3 linked regions of the Schizosaccharomyces pombe genome follow. The gene in region 2 interacts genetically with the main gene of each other region. Each region holds a gene or a part of one and is shown on either strand. Other genes may lie near its edges. The genes, in order: nap1, eri1 and cti6.

Region 1 (5,131 bases), on a different chromosome or scaffold from region 2:
ACAGATCATCGACATAAATACTCTCAGTCTTGTTAAAAGTATTAATCTGAAGGATGATGAAAGTTTCTCTTTTATTTCTCGATTGACAAGCGTTCATTTTTGTGATCGCCAAATATTTAGTAAATTCTCTGCTGTGAATACTGCGTCTACCTCAAAAACTTCTGATACGATAGAAAGGGCTTCTTTTAGCAAGCCTTCATTTATTTTTCTTACGAATAAATCTTGGGGGTTTGGCGCTGAAGCTCATTTTATGAACAAACTAGAATTCAGTATTACCATAGGCGATATTGAAGCCCCTCTGCGTCGAGTGAGTAAGCGATTGCGGAATCCGAAGAAGTATGGAATAACCAATGATGTCGCTTATCTTCAATCTGCTTATTTGGAGCAAATCTCGGCATTACAGTATTGGAAGCAAGGACAGTATGAAAATTCTCTCTCTTTGCTTGAAACTTCCAAAATTGATCCTCGCGTAGTTATCTCCCTCTATCCAGATCTCTATCATTCGGAGCTTTCCTATATTGCTTTTCAAGGTGTCATTAGTTTTCGCAAAAGCATATTGTCCGTCGATGATACTGTTGCTAATGTTTTAAAATCTAATGAATTGTTTCGTGATACTGATCAATACACTCAGAGACAAATGATTGAAATTACTAAGGAAAACGCATACATCATGTTGATGCGTTATCTGAAAAATTACAAAAAGAACACGAGCATATCTGAGTATCTTTTATCTTCGCAAAGAGACGTGATGCTTGCTGTAGAGCATTCGTTATTACTCCTTTATTTAAATATGGATGATTTAGCCGCCGGTACCAAAAATGCTAAGGAGTTGTTAGAGTCTGGTCTAACTGGTGTTGAAGATATAAAAGATGTGTTGATACAGAAGAAAGAGTATTATTTACTCTCCGTGTTATTGGCTACTGTAAGGGATCACGATGGTGTTCTTCAAACTTGGAAGAAATTAATAACAGGGGATTATGAAGATCGGAGATTCAACGATGGGTTAATTAAAATACGAGAATATTTGGTTAATGATATTGAGCCTTCGACATTCTGGGAATTTACTACATGGCTTTGTAAACACGATGCAACGGAGGGTACGCGCGTTTTGCTTGACAAAACAGTTAGTGGATCCATTTCTGCAGAGGACGTGTTAGAGCATTTGGATTCTTCTCAAGATGATGTTTTGATTGATTACCTTGTAAAGTCGAATTCCGTCACTCATCGAGCGCTACTTTTAAAGTTGTGCGTTAATAAGTTGCTTGGCAGTTTATTGGATCATAACGATTTTAAAAATCGCCTTGAGACTGCCATTGAAACATTTAGGGAGCTTCCTTGCATGGAGAAACCTACGTATGCCCAATACTTGGAACAACTTTGGGGGGACATGAGTGATTTCAGTACTCATCTTTCATTTTACTATTTGTGTTCTATTAATCTGATGGAAAATGTTGAAGAAGAATCTATAGATAAAATAAAAGATATTTTGTTCGACATTCATGTTGACAATTTATATCTATTTCCTCAACTTGAACACTCGTTTTACAAAAGGAAGAAGAATTATGAAAAAGCTTTATCCGTTTTGGTTACGAATATTCATGACTATAAGGGCGGTGAAGCATACTGTCTTCAAATTGATGATGTTTATCCTCAGTGTTGGTGCAATTTGCTCGAAAAATGTATATCAACAGGAGATGGATGTAGTGATTTTATTAAAGAACTATTGTATCGTCGACCCTTTTCTTATACGCTTTCCTACGTGTGCGAGCAAATTCCAGATCATTGGAATCTTAACTTATTAGCAGATTTTTTGTGTATATTGCAAAAAAGAAATGCTGAGCGTTTGAATGAATCCCAAACTCGTTTAACACTTGAGAAGTCGTTGTCTCAAAATTTGGAAGAGTTGTTCATGGCTATTAATCGTCGTAATGTAGCCTTGGGCAAAAACGAAATTTAACCCAGTAACATTTAAAAAGTAACCTTTGGTTCAGCAAAGTTTTTACCTCAATTTTCGATACTTATTCGACTGATGTTTAATTTAATGATAGAATAATTTCAATGAGACAAAAAGATTCTAGCTTCAAAATGTTGTTAGAATATAAAGGGCTTTCTTCTACAGTTAATTCAGCTCTTCCTGATCTTTACTAGTCTTAAAAATATAAATAATATTAACTATGAGCCTAAATTCATCGAATTTTATTTTTAAAAACCCCCTTCGGGAATAAAGAAAGTGTCCGTAACACAACGATGCACTGTTCACTAAGGTCGGAAACCCCGAGGATGAGCTCGGAAGTTCCGCGGGTAGGTAGATTCCCAGGGTGCAGCAAATATTCTTACACTTAGCTTCTACCACTACCCTTCCCAGTGTTATTAAAAGGACGTACGGAAAGCGTCTGAAGCATAATTGATTGCTGGAACAAGTAGAATTAATATGGTAGAGAACGTTAATATTAATAACAAAAGGGCCGGAAAAATGTCTGCCGCCCCAACTCCCCATAACACCCCATCGGGGACGAGCGCTCCCAACTTTGGTGCGAAGGCTCCTCAAGTAAATACTATTGACGAAGGAGATGAGAATTTAGAGGCTATCGACGGAAAATTGGGTTCTTTATTACATCTCACTTCAGAAGGAGTTTCAGAATTGCCTGAAGCCGTGCAAAGAAGGATTTCTGGACTTCGTGGTTTGCAAAAGCGATACAGCGACTTGGAGTCTCAATTCCAAAAAGAGCTGTTTGAGTTGGAAAAAGCTTATGCAAAGAAGTACGCACCTATTTTTAAGAGAAGATCTGAGGTTGTTCGTGGCGCTGACGAACCTACCGAGGAGGAAATTAAGAAGGGTGAAGCTGCCGATGAGAACGAAAAGAAAGAACCTACTTCTTCTGAGTCTAAGAAACAAGAAGGTGGTGATGATACTAAGGGTATTCCTGAGTTCTGGTTGACCGCTATGAAGAATGTTTTGTCTTTGTCTGAAATGATTACTCCCGAAGATGAAGGAGCTTTAAGTCACCTTGTGGATATTCGCATTTCCTATATGGAAAAGCCTGGTTTCAAATTAGAATTTGAATTTGCTGAAAACCCATTCTTTACTAACAAGATTCTCACCAAAACTTATTATTACATGGAGGAATCTGGCCCGTCCAACGTTTTCTTGTATGATCATGCTGAGGGCGATAAGGTTGATTGGAAAGAAAATGCCGATTTGACTGTTCGTACCGTTACTAAAAAGCAACGCAATAAAAACACTAAACAAACTCGTGTCGTAAAGGTTTCCGTTCCTCGTGACAGTTTCTTCAACTTTTTTAATCCCCCAACTCCTCCATCTGAGGAAGACGAAGAATCGGAGAGCCCTGAATTGGATGAATTGTTGGAACTTGACTATCAAATCGGTGAGGACTTCAAAGAGAAACTCATTCCTCGTGCCGTTGAGTGGTTTACTGGTGAGGCTTTAGCTCTTGAAAACTATGACGGATTCAGCGACTTAGATGTTGAAGAGGATGAAGATGATGTTGAATCCTCTTCTAACGAAGAAGTTTCCGATTCCGATGAGGAGGACAGTGATAGCAAGCACACTGCTCATGGCCAGCAAAACGCTGCTGAGTGCCGTCAGCAATAAACAATTTCGATAATGTGCATATATTATGGGGTTAATAACAATGGGTTTTCTGTGTTTTGACTAAAGGAAAGATACTTGAAAAGTATGATTCTTGAGGTTTTCATGCAACATTTGTAAACCTTTTGTTGTACAGGATAGGTTCGGACCACATGTGAGTGCTTGCGGACGAGATTCTGCAAGTTTATAAAGTTTTTAAATATCTTCCAATTTATCGAGTTTTTTTCGTTTATCAAATAAAAATGCTTACAGTCGACGTGTTTTATTTTTTACTGGAATTGGTGGTTTTGAGATGAATGGCTTTAAAAGACCTAAACGACATCGTCTACATAATGGGAGGTGTGATCGTTCTTGGCGAATTTTCCGAGTTTCTAGTTTGAGTACGAAAGCCTTTAAAGATTTTGGAATGCTTATATTTGATCAATCATGATGAAAACGCTCGGACAAACTTGGACGTTTTAATATTTTCTTGCCTTTTTTTTCAATCAAATGCTTGCGAAAAGAACTAGTGATAGTTTTTTATTGTTAGTTTAGACCAAGTTGAAAACACTGACTGTAAAAATTGACCTTTAGTAAAGCTTAAAAAAGAGAACCCTTTTTACGAGCTTTTCTAGAAAATAATGCTTTGTTTTGACTTAGAAGTAAGCAATTGAGAATTCATAGTATGAATGGGTTGCATCCTAGTTAGTCTACTCTACCCAAGAAGTTGGGAAGGTATAACTAAACCCGATGTGTTTACATAAAAGGCTATTTCGAAAGAAATGAGTGTCAAAGTTTATCAAAAATACGATTTGTTTTTTTTTCGTTTTTTTAGACATAAAGAAGCTTGCAATTCTTGGAGTAAGAAGGAAACTAAAAAAATGCGGAGCGCATTGTAAAAGAGTGTTCGGTTGTTATAGTAAGTTCGTCTAGCGTTTAACAGATACCAGTTTTGTTTTTTAAAGTTAGAATCATCAAATAATGGAGATGATTACAATTGGGATGGAGGATTGCATACTACAATTTATCTTAGTCTAAATTTAAAGCATATTTGACATATCTCTTACAACATCTAATATTTTAATTTTAATACTTGCCTTAAATATATTATAGCTTTTATAATTTTCGACTTAGACACTATGCCTGAGTGGTTAAAGGGACAGACTAGAAATCTGTTGCGGTCTCCGCGCGCAGGTTCAAATCCTGCTGGTGTCGAAAATTTTTGGCAATTTTTATATTGAAAATTCTTTATATTCATTTGCAACTTAAGAATGTTTTTAGTATATAATGCAAAGGTCCTAAATAAAACAGCGTCCAATTTGATGGAATGCGTTTAGTTGTATAATATTGTTGCAGCAATTTGGTGGACTCAAAACACTGAAAGTCAATTCAAATTTAACTAAGCTCATGTGATATATCAGATTTGTTTGATTTATTATTTTTCCTCGTAAGTTTTAATAAAATGGATTCTACAAATGATCTATCAAAGGTACAAAGAAATAAAATCCAGCTAGCTACTACTAAAGGAAACAAATAATTTTA
Region 2 (5,244 bases):
AAACGAATTTAAGAAAATACTTTTTTTTTTTCAAGCTTGTCGTCACTTGTGAGTTTGAGAATATTCGGGCAAATAAAAGTAAACCGGCTCTATTAGTATGAATTATCAATCCGCGCTTTTATTGCTCAGTACAGAAATTCAGAGGTTGAGTTACATGTAAAAACCAAGATTCGTAACCTTACTACAATAATCAAACCAATTCATTATAAATTGCATTCATATAGATCTCAATGTAATATAACTTTTCTGATTAAAAAAGCTTAAAAAAAGCCATTGTTAAAATGATCAAGCACCAACATTAGAGATGCAATAGATTATAAACAGTAGAAAGGAAAGTTCCTGTGAAATAATTTCTGTCAGCATCTTCAACATTAATGATTCGTTAGTAAATTAATTAAAGAATAGTATATAATTTCGTCTTACTGCACTGTTTGGAAAAGAAAGAAGCCAATGCAACTTGAAGAAATAATAGAAGAAGCTCTAAGGAAATAAATAATAATAGGGTACGTTGGAATGAATTAGTTGCTTATACGTTAAGTTTCTACTTGTGGATGCCCCTTAAGGAAATAGTTTGATCCTTCCGAAAAATGTTAACATTTCAAGTGTATCAAAATGCCAGAAAGTAAAAATCGCCAAAAAAAAAGAGCTAGACTGTACAAATCACCAGGATAAGGAGATTTAGGTAATGAAAAACAGGGTTTCAAATATGATAAAGCTGTACACCCGGTGTGAGACAAAGAAATATATAGTTTAATAATAATATAACGAATTATCAAGTGTGCAATTTTTTTGACATAGGTTCTACCGTGAATTTGGTATGACAAGTAGAACAATGCACCCGTGGTTCACAAAATACTAAAGAGGTTAGCAAAAGGTCAAATGTTCAAAGCCTATCGTAAAGCTTTGTTACTACTTACTTGATAGACAAACTGAGCAAACAAAGCCAATATCCAAAACCTTTTTGTGGCAAAAACATGTAGCTCGAAAATCAACATTCGCTTGGTTTGGGGTATTTAAGTGTTTTCGAAGATTTTGATCCGGAAAAAGCGACATCATGAGATATTGTAGTAAGCCTTTGGGGTTGTCAACTTTTAAGTAAATCCCTCCTGTGGCATCTGCTGCTTGTTCTAAAAACAGGGTGCCTCCCTCAATGTTGCAAACGTTAATTGGAATATTTTTCTTTTGAGCACAAAATATACAATTCATAGTAGGAATATACTGAAGAGCAACATCACCAGTTAATGAGAAAATTAGAATTCGAGAACGAAGAGTATTTTTATTTTGAACTTGATTGATATATGCAAGGGCTCTAGATAGTGCTCCGGAAATCATCGTTTTTCTTGAAACTTTATCAGTCGAACTCATGAGTCGCTTCATCCCAGATAAAACTAAGTCGTCTACCTCACGAAACTTTCGATACGTATTTGCCTCCTTGGTAGGATCTACTTCTGCGACTTTTTGCTCAGGTGCAATCGAAGGGTATAGGTATTCAACCTTGTCCGAGTGTGAAGCTAACACAGCAACTCTATTATCATGATGAAAAGCTAAGTGTGCGTTTAGAAAAACCGTAATATCTGCCAGTACCTTGGAAACAGGCACTTTTTTGGAAAGGGAGTACCATGAGGCAGGATTTGCGTCTAATATAACTACAAGCAAACTGGGTGTATCATTTGCGTCTTCAGATATATCCCACGAGGCATTTTGTTTCAAAGTTTGAAATTCATCCATCCCTCTTTTTATAATGTGTTTTTTCTCAATGCTTTCCCAACTTTAATACAGGTAGACAACAACCCAGAAAAAGTGTAGGGTTCAAAAAAAGATTGCCAACAAAACAGTGTTATTTCAAAAACATTTATATTCCATTATAATGAAATGGTTTATCTAATGAAATAAAAGGTAAAGTAATTCCAAAAATATAAAAAATTTATGGAGTCGCCAGTGCAGATTTTAGTTTGGCCTTTTCCATGTGACGAGATGAACCAAAAAACACCGTCTACGGTAGAAGAAATTCGTATAGCACTACAAGAACTTGGGTTGAGTACGAATGGAAACAAGTATGTTACTGAAATTGAGAAGCAATTAGTCCGTTTTCTCAGAGTTTATATAAATTAATTATTTACACAGTATAAAGAGAAAAACTGAAACGGCGATGGAAATTTCGTGAAAAACGTCTTGAAGAAAAACGAAAACAAGAACGTTATCAAAAGTTTTCTACTAGTAATGAAAACAAAACTTGTTTGTAGGGTTAAATCATCAATTGTTTAAACATTTTCTATCTAACAGTAACTGAATACTTGTAGACGATACTTGCTAATTGTGGACGTCGAAGCTACATGTGAAGAAGGTTGCGGATTTAGCTTCGAAAACGAGATCATAGAATTACCATGTCTTCTATTCGATTTAATAGAAAAATCCATAATCGACGAATTTCATTCTTACGTTCGCCCATCCATGAATCCTACTTTGTCTGACTATTGTAAATCACTGACAGGAATTCAACAATGCACTGTTGATAAAGCGCCTATCTTCTCAGATGTCTTGGAAGAACTATTCATATTCTTGCGGAAACATTCCAATATTTTAGTTCCCTCAGTTGATGAAATTGAGATTATAGAACCCTTAAAGTCCGTACCCAGAACACAGCCCAAAAATTGGGCCTGGGCTTGTGATGGTCCTTGGGATATGGCGTCCTTTTTAGCCAAACAAGTAAGTGTTAATATAATTTTGTTCGGTTTGTCTCACATTTCGCTAACAAATCGTATTATCAGTTCAAATATGATAAAATGCCAATTCCTGACTGGATCAAAGGACCATTCGTAGATATTAGGTCTTTCTATAAAGACGTTTATCGCGTTCCACGCACAAATATTAATGGAATGCTAGAGCATTGGGGTCTTCAGTTTGAGGGAAGCGAGCATCGCGGAATAGATGATGCGAGGAATTTATCACGAATTGTTAAAAAAATGTGTTCGGAAAACGTAGAATTCGAATGCAATAGGTGGTGGATGGAATATGAGAAGAACGGCTGGATTCCGAATCGAAGTTACCCGCCATATTTCGCAAGCTAATGCTTAAAATTTTTATTTCGACTTCATAATCAATATATTTCGTGGAATCTGGTAGAGATAAATTATCGTTAAAATTCATAGATAAAAAAAATTTCCGAAAATTACGTCAAAAGAATGTTTAATCTTCATTAGATGACTCCTCTTGAGGTGCATGGGACCTCGCATGTCCTTCTTTTGCAGAGGTTGGCCATAGGTTGGGAATTGCGATCCTGTGGGAATTAGTTAGTATGAATCAATTCATACTCTCACTTACTGTTGAAACTGAGGAGAAACACAACGATTAGTAAACCATTGTCGAATCCTTGATTCGATCAATTGTGTAATTTTAGGAATGTCTTGAAGCTTTGACCTAGCTCCCACAAGAGAACTTACTTGTAGCGAGATCACGAAATTGGGGTCAAATGACAAGTTCATATATGCAGGCTGGCCTGCACCATTGCTTGGGGAAAAATAAATCATAATCTAGGACAAATGTTAGAAAAGACCGTTATTAAAAGACGAAAAAAAATAGTCTATCGTAGAATACCACTGTGATACGATTTAACACTTGATGTTTCAAACCCCCGGGGGAGGGGTGTAAAGAATCGTAGAGACTATATACTATTAAGGTTGTAAATAGACTTACCTTTCCGACAAATTTACAAATCCTAACTGTAATGGACAATGGTAAGGTTGCAAACGCAGGCTTTGGAAAATTAAGTAAAAGCTTTGTGTCAACGGTGCAATTAATATTGTCAGTCAGAGAAACAAGCATCTCCGCTCGAAGCTGTGAGGAATTATGCTGATGAGGTAGAACCCGACAATGACTGAAAACCGGAAATCCGTCTCCAAGCGATAAATCTCGCACGTAAATATGATCAACCATAGACTTGTCTTGAGCACCTTTGTTGAGAACAGTTTCAAGTTTTCTCAGGGCAACATCGTTGGAACATGCATCATAGCGAAACTGTATGAGAGCTTGTGCTATTAGTACATTAAACCAATCCAATGATTCCGGCTCATGTTCATTAACATCGTAAAGCAGATTGAGTATATGAGGTTCAAGGATAGTAAGAGGCTTTTTGTACCTTTTTTTGTTATTACTTAAAGGAGTTGAAGGAGTCTCGTCAGGTGTTTCATTCCCCGTTTGTTTTGGAGAGTTTGCTACAGACTTTGGAATTGGACTACAAAATAAAAAGAACCGCAAAAACACATAAATAATGGCCAGTGTCAACAATTGTCCAACTATTAGTCCTTGTGTAAAACTCCCCTGCGGCAGGTGTATCATTTTTGTTCATAAATATACTAAAATACCTCGAATTCGCTAATCCCGAGAATCAAAACCGTAAACGGAAAAATTAGTCTTCGCTCTACAAGAAGAGTATAAATTAAACGTCTCAAATACAAGAGTTAACTGCTTAGTAAGTTGAGGCTTTCTGTAATATATATATATATTTTTTTTTTTTCTTTCTTGTAGGTGGTCTACGTAGCATTTGCAATTACAGAGTTCATTGAGCCTATTTGTTTGAGTCCAAAACCGAAATCAACTAATTAAACTAATGGACTTCAATTAAAAAAGATTATTAGTAAATTCATTAAATAACATGATTTGTTTGAGAAAAGCAACTAATTATATCAAATTATTGACTTTAGATATATAAATCCTTTATGATAATATATATTACATTATGAAATTATAAGAGAATATTACTTTCTTGTACTCTTCACATGTGTATGGCATGCTCATACTCAAGGGTAGGAAATACACTAGTACGCGTTTTACTCTTCCAAAAGGAGTATTAGTTAAAGTATCTTTAATAAACGACAATAATTAGTTATTCTTTCTTTCGTATATTAACGGACTACCTAATTTTCGAAAGTTTCTCCGTCTGTGATATTTTATTAAAATGTTAAGCAAATGGATTTAATGCCGTTAGAAAAAGCAAGAGCAATTGAGATTGCATTTGATAATGTGTTTCATAATACAAAAATTCCGGACAATTTGCAGCAATTTGACGCCATATTGAAACGACTGGAAAGACGGAGATTTATACCAACGGAAAATCAGAAACCAAGAGTGTACGAAACAGAGCTACTTGTACTGCGATTTCGCGAATTTGGGGTGAAAGACAACCATAATCATCCAATAAATCTTCATTCTCTTCGGTCAAAAAGCTTAATCAGGGCACAAGGTAAA
Region 3 (4,816 bases), 810 kb from region 2:
ACGAAAAGCGCAAAGACAATCCATGTTTGGCGCCTAAGGAACATTGGAGAAGAGAGACCAAGTGATGGAGCAATTTGGGGCATTAAATCGCCTACAATAACCAAATAGCTTACCGCTACACCGAAGCATTTAACAGCAATAGAAGCGTCAAAGACAACAGCCAAAGAGGGAAAGGTGTGCTTGGCAACAGCAGCAAATGAAGCCTTTCCCCTCGGGAGTCGTGCGGCGCATTGGGAAACAAAATATAATCCTAAAAAAGAAGCGAATGCACTAAAGACGATGGTCAAACACCCAAACAACAGACCAGTCTTGGTAAACGCATTTGGTAAGGAAAGAATTCCAGCTCCCAAAATAGTATTGGCAAGGTTGATAACCGAAGAAAAGAACCCAGCTTTTCCAATATGGACGTCTGCTGGTCCAGAAGACAAAGGACTATACCCAGACATAAATTAACCCAAACTAGGAATAGAGAAAAAATCTAGGAAGCTATAAAATTGGTGTTTTTAGGAACCAACTTTACGAATTACAATTAAGTACTAAGCGTATGAGTATGCAAACTGATCGATTTTTTGGAAGAATCGTTCAAGAAAGTTATTTTAAAAGAAAATAAGAACTATGCAATATAAAAAAAATGGTTCTAAACAAATAATAGAACGTGGAATAAAAAACGCCTGAGAAATCGTAGAATAGAAATCAGCAGACAAAAAGAGACCAGCTCGATAAATTAAATTGTAGAATCTATTCAGAAGCCCGATAAATAATAGGAAAAATTATAGTACACGATGTATTAAAGCACCTTCCCAGCTGTACGAGTGGAATGCTCGTTCTTGGTTGTTAAAAGAGATGAAATTACGATATACAGATGCGATATCGCTCTACTCTGGTTTGCCAGCAGATATAAAAGCAATGAAATATTATTTCTTTTCTTACTATTACTAAAAAAATTGTTAATATTTATCACTATCATCTCAATTAATGAGTGACATGAGAAATTTATACCAAAATAGATATTTGTGGCACACGAATATTTTACCAACTTGAACACAGTATTAGCAGTAAATTAGAGAATTTTGTAAATTCTGTAGAAATAAAACGAATTTTTCATAGACATATATTTATATCAATAGAGCATTCGAAGTGGTGGAAGAGCATACAATTGATTTTTTCATCGAATAAATTTCAATAAAAAGAGAAAATTTAGAATTATAACAATTTCTCACTGTCAAACGTTGATCACAAGGATATAAATAGTTTTTTATTTTATTTCATAAGTATCTAGTCAGTTGAATATAGTATCGAAGAAAAATACAATCAAATTTCATTGTTTTGTTCATGAATTCCCGGTGAACCGAGTAGCAGTTGCTTTTCTGACATTGCGAGGAAAAAGCCTTTTTTAAAATGTAAGATGTTTTTTAGTTTCAAAATATGCACATACGCCATTCTAAAGATTGCAGGAACATCGTAAAATGCGAATACATGGAGATAATACCAAATATCATGTCGATATTACAAAACCTCTTTTAATTTATAAAAGCAGCAGCACCTTACAGAAATGATTTCACAACCTTCATAATACAGCTTATAATAATATGCATTCCCAAATCAAGTCAATTCTCATTTCAATAATAATTAGTACAGAGAGATAGCATAAAAAGTGGGTCAAACAAACCATACGTTTAATTATATGAAGTTTGAGATGAACATATAAGTTTCTTAATCTAATTCAACAGTGCTAAAGCTTTAGGAGACTTAAATAACCATTCCCAGACAAACCAGGTTCTCCGATGGTCAAGGGCAAATCAACGGGCAAAATGGGCCTATAAAAAAATGAAAGGTGTTAAACTGTTTATGTTTACAAAGATAATTGGGTTTTTATCAATTTTTTTTAATTAACTATCATTTCAATGCATTGGCAGTCTCCCTCTGGGCTTGAATCCTAGAATCCAACGTTTTTGCCATTCAACTATTTAACTATTACCAAAGTGCCATTACGACTTTGACCAAAAACATTCAATCACTAAATGAATATAAAAAAACAAATTTCCCATACATTAATTACTTAAAGCGTGAAGTTTCAGCAATTCGCGATATATTTCATTGATGTTGTAGTTGGTAAATGTATTACCTATCTTCCAATCCTTCACCATTCCCCAAGCGCACAGCACAATTTTTTAATAAAACGATTATTATACATTATGCCGAGTAATTCAACTCCCGCTAATGAAGAAAAAGAGGAAGAGTCTGAAAAAATTCAGAAATCTCCCGTAGACACACCCCACACGCCTAATGGCTCAGTTTCCGATAATGAAGAGAATGAAACATCGAGTACTGGAGAAGTAACCCGCTGTGTTTGTGGAATTGTCGAATCCGACGATGAAGCTAGTGACGGGGGGCTGTATATTCAGTGCGATCAATGCTCAGTTTGGCAACATGGGAACTGTGTGGGATTTGCTGATGAATCAGAAGTTCCCGAGGTATATTATTGCGAAATATGCCATCCAGAATTCCATAAAGTATATCAAAGGGGCAGAGGGTAAGTGTTGATAACAGATGAGCTTAAGGATTTAAAATGGATTTACCACTGAATACCTAATGCTTTAAACTAATTGCAGTGGTTTCCAAATATCTCCATTTTATTCTTTTTTCTCTTCTAGCAATTAAAAAAATTGGGTTTTTCAACTATTGTTACTAACTTCGCCGCAGGGCTAAACAATCAAAGTATCTTGGAAATGGAAAACCTATAGAAGCCAGTCAAACAGAAGAATCTTCATCTACTCCCCCATCTCCGGCAACCAAAAAGTCGTCTAAGCAACGTCTTACTATGAATTCCAGAGACGCCGCTCTTGATTATGAAGAGTATCTTGCAATTGCTAAGGAAAAGTCACTAATACCGAGGAGATCTAGAGGGTATGGTCATTGATATTCATAGATGATATACTAACTGTTTTTAGGCGAACTTCATCGAAGTCTCTTTCTCCACCAGCTCCCCAAGATGAATCGCAAGGAACCGAAATAAATTTAAAACAAAAAATTGAAGAAGAGAATGATGAAATTTTAGAAGATAGTAAGGAGTCGAAGGACGAAAACGAAGAGAATAAAGAAACCTCTACTACTAATGTCGCTGAAACGGATGCCCCTGAAGAAGAAACTGTAGATACGGTTGAGGAGATTGCTGATGAAGAAAAGCACTCAGTAAAAGAGGAGTCTGGAGAAGCATCCCCTCAAAGCTCACAACAATCTACCATTACTTCTATTTCGACCACTACTCGGTCAACGCGAAAAGCTAAACGTGAAGCAGCGGCAGAAGACAAAGCGGATCTTCCAGCAGCTGTCGCACCGAAGCCTTCAAAAACAAGAAAGGTGGGAGGAAGAAGAGGAAAATCTAGTTCGAACGATAATCACCGAATTCCTCAATTACATCCGGATGGAACGTTCGTAGAGACCATAACCAAGCCTAAGGGATTGCACTCAAGAATCACTATGACTGAGATGCGGCGAAGAGTTGCCTCTATGCTAGAGTATATTGGACATATTCAAGTTGAAATGGCAGCTCAGTCTGCTGGTAATCAATCATCCACAAAGTCATCGAAAGAAGGCCCAGAAGAAGAGAAGGAAACTCTTAGGATGGTAGACAATCTCACCAGGGATTTATTGCATTGGGAACAACGATTCAGTCGAACTTGATGATGCTGTGTACTGTGTGAATTTACATCAGTAATATTAAAAAAAAGAAGCAAAGGAAGAAAAAAGGAGAAAGATGTGTTCAATTGAACATGTCAACATACATATATTTTTACTTTTTTATGATCTAATGGTTTCCTTTGTTGATTTATGATAGATATTTTGATAAAGATTTAGAGTTCCTTTGATGAGAGGGATATAATTTTTGTTTGGTTAATTGAAGAAATATAATTTATTATTATTTACAGGTTAAACTTTTGTATATTTTTTGAAATGAGCTATGTTTTTCGAGTACACCGATTTCCAAGTGAATGAGTAAAAACGTTCAAAAGTACTCACTAATTTAATAAATACAAGAGGTTTTGAAACTAAAAAAAAAAAAAAAAATCAAACGTAGAAAACACCACAATAACTACTTTCTGAAGGAAAATCCATCTTTCATTAAGTGCCTATTAAACCAGCTACAATATAATGTTATATAAGGCTTGGTACTGGAGAGGAAAAAAATAAATCCTGATTATTCCATCAATTGAACAAATATTTTAACTAAGTGTCTAATGAAAACAATTTCTACTTAAAAAATAGTACTATACATACTTTATTTACATTGTTGAGCACAATGTCAAATAACGAAATGCATTGTATTTCTCTATATTAGCCCTACCCTATGCCTAGAAGAGCAGTCACGACTTTCGTCTAGTAGAAGAAACGCTTGAAACAATCTCTACCTTCACACCAAAATGGCCCACGAAAACGTTTGGTTCTCTCACCCTCGCAAGTACGGAAAGGGCAGCAGACAATGGTAAGCAAGCATCTTTTTTATACACGAGTGATGTATTAATTCATAATTTAGCGCTCACACTGGTCGTCGTCTCGGTTTAATCCGCAAGTACGGTTTGAACATCTCTCGTCAAAGTTTCCGTGAGTACGCCAACGACATTGGTTTCGTTAAGGTAAGAGAATTTTGCTGTAACTTTCTTTTAAGTTTGCAACATCTGTTTCCGACAGCATATTAACTAGTTTAGTACCGTTAAACATGAGGCTATTCATATACTGAATCAAAACCGATTTGTGTGAAATATCATTTTGTGATGCTTTTGGCATTATAAAATATTTTGAATTTGTAAGGTTGAGC

What was found.
Region 1: mutations in eri1 (region 2) and nap1 together harm fitness more than expected from each alone (negative genetic interaction), as found in Schizosaccharomyces pombe (one large-scale study listed by BioGRID).
Region 3: mutations in eri1 (region 2) and cti6 together harm fitness more than expected from each alone (negative genetic interaction), as found in Schizosaccharomyces pombe (one large-scale study listed by BioGRID).

Annotation. Positions count from the first base shown.
Region 1 is NC_003421.2:472,872-478,002, reverse strand, and holds nap1 (histone H2A-H2B chaperone Nap1), read left to right. Parts: upstream 1-2,341; 5' UTR 2,342-2,431; coding exon 2,432-3,613; 3' UTR 3,614-4,405; downstream 4,406-5,131. Other genes in the region: GTPase regulator Vps3, read left to right, coding at 1-1,957.
Region 2 is NC_003423.3:1,318,766-1,324,009, forward strand, and holds eri1 (double-strand siRNA ribonuclease Eri1), read left to right. Parts: upstream 1-1,954; 5' UTR 1,955-1,974; coding exon 1,975-2,054; intron 2,055-2,131; coding exon 2,132-2,239; exon of another isoform or gene 2,240-2,300; coding exon 2,301-2,706; exon of another isoform or gene 2,707-2,768; coding exon 2,769-3,068; 3' UTR 3,069-3,186; coding exon of another isoform or gene 3,187-3,277; 3' UTR 3,278-3,321; coding exon of another isoform or gene 3,322-3,530; 3' UTR 3,531-3,693; coding exon of another isoform or gene 3,694-4,335; 3' UTR 4,336-4,450; downstream 4,451-5,244. Other genes in the region: transcription factor TFIIH complex subunit Tfb4, read right to left, coding at 773-855, 918-1,728; ERMES complex subunit Mmm1, read right to left, coding at 3,187-3,277, 3,322-3,530, 3,694-4,335; protein Mis19, read left to right, coding at 4,966-5,244.
Region 3 is NC_003423.3:512,021-516,836, forward strand, and holds cti6 (Rpd3L histone deacetylase complex PHD finger subunit Cti6), read left to right. Parts: upstream 1-2,134; 5' UTR 2,135-2,195; coding exon 2,196-2,533; intron 2,534-2,703; coding exon 2,704-2,907; intron 2,908-2,951; coding exon 2,952-3,684; 3' UTR 3,685-3,933; downstream 3,934-4,816. Other genes in the region: vacuolar amino acid transmembrane transporter Avt5, read right to left, coding at 1-446; rps29 (40S ribosomal protein uS14), read left to right, coding at 4,422-4,483, 4,535-4,634, 4,707-4,715. UniProt on the Schizosaccharomyces pombe protein: Could be a component of the RPD3C(L) histone deacetylase complex (HDAC).